Linked DNA regions of Solanum lycopersicum. Each later gene encodes a partner of the first gene's protein in a complex. Links are inferred from orthologs where the notes say so. Each region holds a gene or a part of one and is shown in the gene's direction. Other genes may lie near its edges.

Region 1 (3,823 bases):
TTGTTTTTTTTTACGTCTAGTTTCCTTGTACAAATATTATATGCATTTTCTTTATCAATGAAGCTTCCTCTCTTCATTTTTCCAAATCGTATTTCTACATTAACACCTAGCTTCCTAGCATTAATTTTTACTTGTGTCACTTAGATTAATACAACTACTTGAATCTTTAATCATCTACATCAGTTAAAATTATCTAGCTTAAGCACTTAAATCCCACCTAGTTTGAATTTGTAGGGAACCTAGTTGTGAACCTTGTATGATGCCTATTACTTTTCTTTTGAGGTGATTTGAACTCTTAATGATCTCAGGTTGTGGAGACTAGTAAATTGAATTATTTGCAATTAGTTGTAGTAATAGGTTCCCTAATGCGCAAGAGGGGTGTTGGAATGAAGTGGATTGAGAACCCTAAGGTCGTTGCTTCAAATCCCAGTAGAGACAAAAAATAAGGTGATTTCATCCCATTTGTGGACGTTACCTAGTACCTCTTGGTAAGAGGTACATGTATCCCATGGAATTAATTGGCCCGGACACCACAATTATATTAAAAAAATTAGGGTGTTCTAACACACCTTAACCCAGTAGGTGATAACTCTTCTCTTTAGCTCATTAAAAGAGTTGTCACATGTTGAAGCCCGCTTTTGCGAGAAAATGGGGCGTGACACACTTAGGGGGAAAAGTGAAGCATAGAAATAGCAAAGGACTAGGTACATATTGGAAAATAGTGCATGTAGTAAGGATGTGTAATGCAAGGAACTCAGAACACCTACATACAGTATCTTGTACTAATACTGAGTTTGTACAATTAGTTTCTCAAGTATCTGGTTATCTTATTAAGAGTTGGTATTATATCTAACAGGGAAATGAACACGGAAGAAAAAAGATTTAATCAAGAAGAGGAGGATGAGGAAGAAAATGGGAGAGGTCGAGAAGCATGGGAAAGAACTTATGCAGATGAAAGATCATGGGAGTCTTTACAAGAGGATGAATCAGGACTCCTTCGTCCAATTGACAACAAAACTCTATCCCATGCTCAGTATCGACGACGTCTCCGCACTGCAACTGCTGCACGAATTCAGAAGGGTTTGATTCGGTACCTCTACATTATCATTGATTTCTCCAGGGTATGTAAAATCCTGTATGATTGCAAAATAACTGCAGTATTGTAATTGGTTACTGACATTTAAAGGTTAATTTTTTTTTTTTTTTGCAAAATATGAAACAATTATTTAAGCATCTATAGTTATCTGTTTGTAAATGAGTTATCTCCGGAAGAAGTTAATCAGGTCCAATTTCCCAGACAATCTGCTGATCTTCTTCTGATGCTAGCAAATTGTTTCTTATGAAGGAACACAACAGGGTCCTTTTTAAAGAACCAGCAGCTCTTTGTTTTATGGATTTCTATTTGCATCTAGGGCTGAAGATTTAGTGATTGCAACTGGTTGATTATGCTATAAGATATTGATAAAACTAAGCAATTGGGTCGTCTTCGATCAGTTTAATGAATATTCAAGTGTATACCTACTTTCTGTTTTGATGTCACCATATTTCTTTAAACCACGTTTTGAAATTCTAAAATTGTGAATTGAGTTTATAAGACAATTATTGCATTTTGAAAATGTCCCTTAATTGGGTTGTGCTTATCACTGCATTGGACGTTTTCTTTTATCATTGACAAGGTGCTTTAACAGACAATCTTAAACATTTGCATGTAAGCCTCTGGCTGATAGTTCTCCTTTCAAGATGTCAGCATCCTTTTCCGTGACATTTTCCTAGTTTTCTTTTTTTCGCATTGCTCGAAAGTTTTTGTGAGCATTGGTTGCATCTACTTGATACTTTTCCTACATGCTTATATTCCGCAACACCCACGCCAACTTGGAAAGCTAGAAGAAAAATCAAAATGCTTTGAATACTAGAAATCTCGACATAATAGTAGAGACTTTTAGCGTTCATTTCAATTAAGTCTGGATGACTTTAAAAATGACTTTTTGAAAGAGAGAGAGAGACAGTAATGTCTCATAATATCTTGGACTTTTACATCTTTTGAGTTTGTAATTGCTCACCTGAATTTTGAATTTTAGGCAGCTGCAGAAATGGATTATAAACCAAGCCGAATGGTTGTAGTTGCTAGACAAGTGGAGGCTTATATAAGAGAATTTTTTGACCAGAATCCCCTGAGTCAAATTGGCTTGGTGATCTTGAAAGATGGAGTAGCTCATTGCTTAACAGATCTTGGTGGCAGTCCCGAGGCTCATATCAAGGCATTGATGGGTAAATTGGGGACCTCTGGTGATGCATCCCTTCAGAATGGCCTAGATCTTGTGTGTGATCTCCTAAATCAAATCCCATCGTATGGTCATCGTGAAGCCCTTATCTTGTATTCAGCTCTTAGCACATGTGATCCGGGGGATATACTGGAAACCATCCAAAAATGCAAAGCGTCCAAGATAAGGTGCTCAGTAATTGGTCTCTCTGCAGAACTCTACATATGCAAGCATCTCTGCCAAGAGACTGGTGGAATGTATTTTGTTGCATTGGATGAGGTAAGGAATTGAGCTCTGAAGTAGTGGTAATACCAGAACTTGTGAAACAAAAACTAATAGAATAAGGAAATCTTTTGCTGGAAATTTAGGATAAATTTGGTTCTAATAGCCTACTATGTAAAATGTCTCATTGAATGATATGATTAATAATATGTGGCAAGCATAATATTGTTAAAACGTTTTATGATTTGATTCGTTGTTATTGCTCTGTCAGCCTCATTTAAAAGAGTTGGTATTGGAGCATGCCCCACCTCCTCCAGCTATTGCAGAGTTCGCTGTTGCAAATTTGATTAAGATGGGGTTCCCCCAAAGAACAGCAGAGGGTGTCATTTCAATTTGTTCATGTCATAAAGAGGCTAAAGTTGGTGGTGGATACACTTGTCCGAGATGCAAAGCGCGCATATGTGAGCTGCCTACTGAGTGTTGCATTTGCGGACTGACCCTTGTATCTTCTCCACATTTGGCAAGGTCATATCACCATCTCTTCCCAATAAGGCCATTTGATGACGTTTCACCCTCAGCTCTGAAAGATTTTCACAAGTTACCAAAGAATTGCTTTGGTTGCCAACTGAGTCTTCTAAATCCTGGTAAGAGCACTCTTCTTATTTACAAAATCGAAACTATCTTGAGGTAAAATATTTATGCCGAAAAACAAGGAAATCTGTCTTATTTTTTTACTCTTCAAGATTATTCTATAAATAACCACTGAAGTGAATCTGCGATCCAATGAAGCACTTGGTCACACAATATATTTGTAAAAACGACTTGCAATTTTTTGGTTCAGAATTGAAACTTCCAGTGGTAAAAAAGATTCATGCCAAAATGATGGAATATGTCTCTCTGTTTGCTGTCAAGACTGCATCGTAAGTAACCTTTAGAGTGAATCTGGGACCCAAAGAAGCACCTGAGCTGGTATTCCTTATCAAAATAAATAAATAAAAATGGAACACCTGAGATTTGCATTTTCTTTTGAAACTGGTAACATTGTATTCCTCAGCATCCTTAATGCTGGCCATCAGTTTTGCAGATATTATCATTATCTATGTATATGCTAGGATGTTCGATAATTTGATAATTTTCAAGTAGAGTAGTTTATCAGATTAACCGTGGGTACATAACCCTGACCTGAAGCATCTGCTGTTGCTAAGGATGTCAATGAAGTTCCTTTCTTTCTTTTTTTTTTTTGAATTGGTAAAAGTTGTGTTCATCAGCATTCAGGGCTATGCTGGCCTCCTCCAAAATTTACAAAAGAGTCATGGATAGTTACAAGAAATAATATAAAA
Region 2 (4,378 bases), on another chromosome or scaffold:
AACTATGTGCCTACAAATGTTGAGTTCTTGGTGTATCAAACAAGTAAATTGTAATAATCCAAAATCAGTGAGAGAATTAATGTATTCCCTGAATGTGAGAAGGAACTTTCTTGGTGCTCTGAACAACAAAATTCCAACTCACTTACCAGAAAGAAAAAAAAAGCAAGAACAGTGTATAAAACATAAAAAGAACCTTTTTTTAAGCTAATATTTGTATATACAAGAGCCACAAACAAAAATCTATAAACCCATGAGACAGAAATCAAAGCTCTGAGAGGAAAAACCTGTTGGAGGCCGCCACCCAGTTTAATCGTTTGGTTAGTCATGCTGGAAAGATCTAAAACAACATCACCAGGAACCTAATCAAAACCAAAAATACAATCTTTTTTGCATCAAACAATTTATACACTATAATCTGGCACAAGAAATCGAAAAAAAAAAAGTTTGTACTTACTACTGGTTTATCAATGAAGCAAGGTTTCGAACCCATTGTATTGTGTTTTTCTTGATTGAACAGAGTGTTTGTGTAAAGTCTTGGGGTTTATGTCTCAACAATGTTAAAGATTGCTAACCTAGCACCCCTTTGTTATCAACATAAATAGTTTTTATACAAAGTTATATTTTTTAAAAAATAAGGAACGAAGAAACTTCTAATTTGGGTTAGAGGAAAATAAAAAAAAATTATATTTTTTACGCAAATTATATAATGTCAATAGCTAATTATATTTCATTCTTACTATATTCAAATTACTAAAATTCCCTAAGTATAGTGGAATCCGAATACATTCCAAAGCATTTCGATACATCGTATCTATGTTTCAGATATGTTGCATCTCGATTATCTGATACATTGCTCACATCCTCATATATCACGCAAAGTGATTTATTCGACTAGTTATAATTTTTTCAAATAGTAAAAGTTTTAAATAATGTGATAAAATAAGTTGTGTATTTAATTTTCCTAAAAATAATAAGTACTCCTAGGTAGGGAAAATTAAAATAGAGAATTAAAAATAAAGGGATTTTTTTTTAAAAAAATAAAAATAATAATTTGGATTTTAGGGGAAAATTAAAATAAGAAATAATAAAGTAAAAAGTTTGGGTTTAGGGAAAATTAAAATAATATGTAAAAAAAATTGACAGCTGTGGGATTTGAACCCACGCCCTTTCGGACCAGAGCCTAAATCTGGCGCCTTAGACCACTCGGCCAAACTGTCTTTTTGTTATGATAACGATGTTTTTTTTTATTAACAATTAATTATCGAAGTCTTTTTCTGTTATGATTCAATAAAAATAAGCATTATATAAGTAAAAAGGCAAAGCCCGACAGTATATTGCATCGGCGACGCTCTCTACACCTGACCGGTGAATTAAGGTTTATTCCACCGGCGGCCATGACACCGGTTTCATCAAAGCTTTACGCAGGTCTGTCTCCTTCTCTGTCTGTGTAGCTGAAGTATGCAATAAGTACATGTTAGTGGAATAAGAGGAAAATGTGTTAAAATTAATCTCTTTTGAATACTTTCAGACGATGTGAGCCTATTGATGGTTCTGGTTGATACAAATCCCTACTTCTGGAGCTCAATGAAGAACACTGCCTTCACATTCCCTAAATTCATATCACACGTAAAGACCCCTAAAACCCAAAATTTGTTTTTTTTTTTAAAAAAAAATGAATAGTTTTGTGTTCTCCATTTGTTGAATTTTGATGCTGGAATGTATGGGGGAAATGCAGGTTCTTGCTTTCTTGAATTCGATACTTTTACTGAATCAGATGAACCAAGTAGTTGTGATTGCAACTGGGTACAATTCATGTGATTATGTATTCGATTCGTCTACCTCGTCAATGCAAAGAGCTGAGTGTTTGTTGGAGAAACTGGAGGATTTTGTGGATAAAGATGAGTCCTTGAGTCAAGAAGACTCTGTTGATGGAGTTGGGTTTTCGCTGCTTTCTGGTGCACTTTCTATGGCTTTGTGCTGTATCCTCAATCAGTTCATGTCTGTTGGTTTTTTTTATATTCTTATTGAAGTGAAATTTTAATGATTTTTATTGAGATGCAGAACCAAAATTTGGACTTGCTAGGTTTATTCTTTGAAGCTCTTAGCACTGAATTTATTGACTGTTGAAATTCTAGATACGAAATCTAATCTTTTTGGTTAGATTTTAGTTTTTCTTACTTGTGTATTCATGTTCCGTATTTGAAAATACTGAGTTTGGTTGAACCCGTAGCTATTAGCTATATCTGCCACTGGTTTTTATTTGTTATTGTGCATAGCTTTGCATTCACGTTTGTTTAGAGGAAGTGTTTCTCTTGACCTGTGTGCACTGTTAGACATTCAACGGGTATTTCGTTCAGGGCCTCTTCATCCACAACCTCGGGTAAGTTCCTTATTTTACAAGAAACTGAAAATGGGTTCTTCTGGGATTTTGAATTGATGGAATTTGTTATGAGAATTTCTACTTGTATTATTTTGTTTATCCAGTTACATTTATAGATTTTATGCTTATGTGAAATTTTCCTGGTCGATCCATTTGGGATCGTAAGCTTTAGCATTTACAAGCATAACATGTTATTATGCCAAATACCTTATCCATGGAAATATCTCTCGTCCAAGGGGAAAAAGAACTTCGAGTTTTTTCCAGTGATTTCTTTGGCCTTTTACGTTTCATGTTAATTCTGATAGTGTTTCTTAACCCCAAAGGTGCATTTAAGGGGGTTTGGTGAGGTAATACTTTAAGTTATTCTATGTTTTATGTACCTTAAACAAAACCATCAATTAAACTTCAATGTGCCCTGATTTATTTGTACTGCAATTTTTATCCAATGGTATAGTGAAACTACCATTCCCATCCTTATCAAGAAAAGAAAAAACTAGCATTCCCGATGAAATGCCATTTCTGGTCCCATTTCATTGGCAATTTCTTAATGTGATATTATCAGATATTACTACATCATTTTTGTGTTTGTTAATTTGATCATTTATCAGTAAGGTAGTTGTTAGGAAAAAAAAATCTGTCTTCTCTTGTTTTATACTTTAAAATTTGATCCGTTTTTGTTATGTTGGATATGAATATTGATGCTAAGAAAATGTGCTTGAAATTATGGCAGATATTGTGTCTGCATGGATCTCCAGATGGGCCGGGACAGTATGTTGGATCTTCACAGCTTCTACAATCTTCTCATTGTTAGGTTCTCTGCTGAAACATGTTCTTTTTTTGCAGATATGTTGCAGTCATGAATTCAATTTTCTCAGCTCAACGTTCAATGGTATATAGGATTTAACAATTCTTTCCTTCAATTTTCCTTCTTGATTAATTAGAAAGTTGTCACATGTCTTCATAAATGTAGAATTTTCAAAATTAGGGATCGGGACTTAGATTTCCATATTGTGATCCTACTCTAAGAAATGCAATGCGTTTTTATTGCAGGTACCCATTGATTCATGTGTAATAGGATCTCAGCATTCTGCTTTTCTTCAGCAGGTAGCATTTCTATACCTGAAAGTTCTGGTTGAAAATCTATTCCTTCTCAGCATGAGTTATTTTCTGGCTCACTGATCTTATGGTGCATATCTATCTGGGAACAGGCTTCTTACATAACTGGTGGTGTATATTTGAAACCCCAAGTATCAGATGGACTGTTTCAATATCTCTCTGTAAGTGTTATTAAAATTATTAATACTAAGTTGTCTCTCTTTGTCAAAAAAAATACTAAGTTGTCTCTAGCTTAGCATTTTAACTTGTCAATAGCATGGATCCAACATTGAACATCTACGGTTGTCTCCAGTGCTGCCTTCAGACATTAGTTTCTATCTGATGTGTAAGCATGTTGAACAAGTCACTATACTTTGATTTGTTTAGTGTATGCAATTTTTGTTTCCAAGGAGCTTACACTAAAAAGACCTTCCAAAAGTTTGACCTATTTTAAATCTGGTATTAAATATTTAATATATGTACTACTATTGTTGGTGTTGGAGATACAGTGATCAACCAAAAGGCTATGACTGAAAGTACCAATGTACTCTTTGTGGACTTAGAAAATCTTCTCCAAATGTCTTCTGGACTGCCGCAGTCCGATGGCTTCTCCTTTTGCCCTCTATAGTGAACTTCTCATGCTTTGTCTCTGTGAGTAGGAGATAATAATATCATGAATGAAGATGTGATTGTTGTATGACCTTATTTTCAACATTTCGTTCACGTTTCATGGAATGCAATAGACCCATTGCTAAAACCACTTCCACGACTAGAATACAGTATCTACACCAGAAGTTATATTGAAATTGATTTCTTATTCAAGATGTTCTTTCACATCAACAAGTTGCATATTTCTGTCTGATGCGGTTGGTGTACTGTGCTTTCATTCACCTGGTGTGATCT

The links.
Region 2: general transcription factor IIH subunit 2 (region 1) and general transcription and DNA repair factor IIH subunit TFB4 share a complex: the UniProt entries of both Arabidopsis thaliana proteins name them as parts of the 7-subunit TFIIH core complex. The link is inferred for Solanum lycopersicum from reciprocal best matches to the Arabidopsis thaliana genes GTF2H2 and AT1G18340.

What each region holds. Positions count from the first base shown.
Region 1 is NC_090803.1:54,338,896-54,342,718, reverse strand, and holds part of general transcription factor IIH subunit 2, read left to right. Parts: intron 1-856; 5' UTR 857-860; coding exon 861-1,121; intron 1,122-2,078; coding exon 2,079-2,540; intron 2,541-2,754; coding exon 2,755-3,127; intron 3,128-3,823. UniProt on the Arabidopsis thaliana protein: Component of the general transcription and DNA repair factor IIH (TFIIH) core complex, which is involved in general and transcription-coupled nucleotide excision repair (NER) of damaged DNA and, when complexed to CAK, in RNA transcription by RNA polymerase II.
Region 2 is NC_090805.1:46,431,364-46,435,741, reverse strand, and holds the start of general transcription and DNA repair factor IIH subunit TFB4, read left to right. Parts: upstream 1-1,310; 5' UTR 1,311-1,394; coding exon 1,395-1,425; intron 1,426-1,528; coding exon 1,529-1,626; intron 1,627-1,735; coding exon 1,736-1,979; intron 1,980-2,333; coding exon 2,334-2,380; intron 2,381-3,110; coding exon 3,111-3,148; intron 3,149-3,223; coding exon 3,224-3,269; intron 3,270-3,430; coding exon 3,431-3,484; intron 3,485-3,588; coding exon 3,589-3,657; intron 3,658-4,378. Other genes in the region: uncharacterized protein, read right to left, coding at 285-359, 455-490. UniProt on the Arabidopsis thaliana protein: Component of the general transcription and DNA repair factor IIH (TFIIH) core complex, which is involved in general and transcription-coupled nucleotide excision repair (NER) of damaged DNA and, when complexed to CAK, in RNA transcription by RNA polymerase II.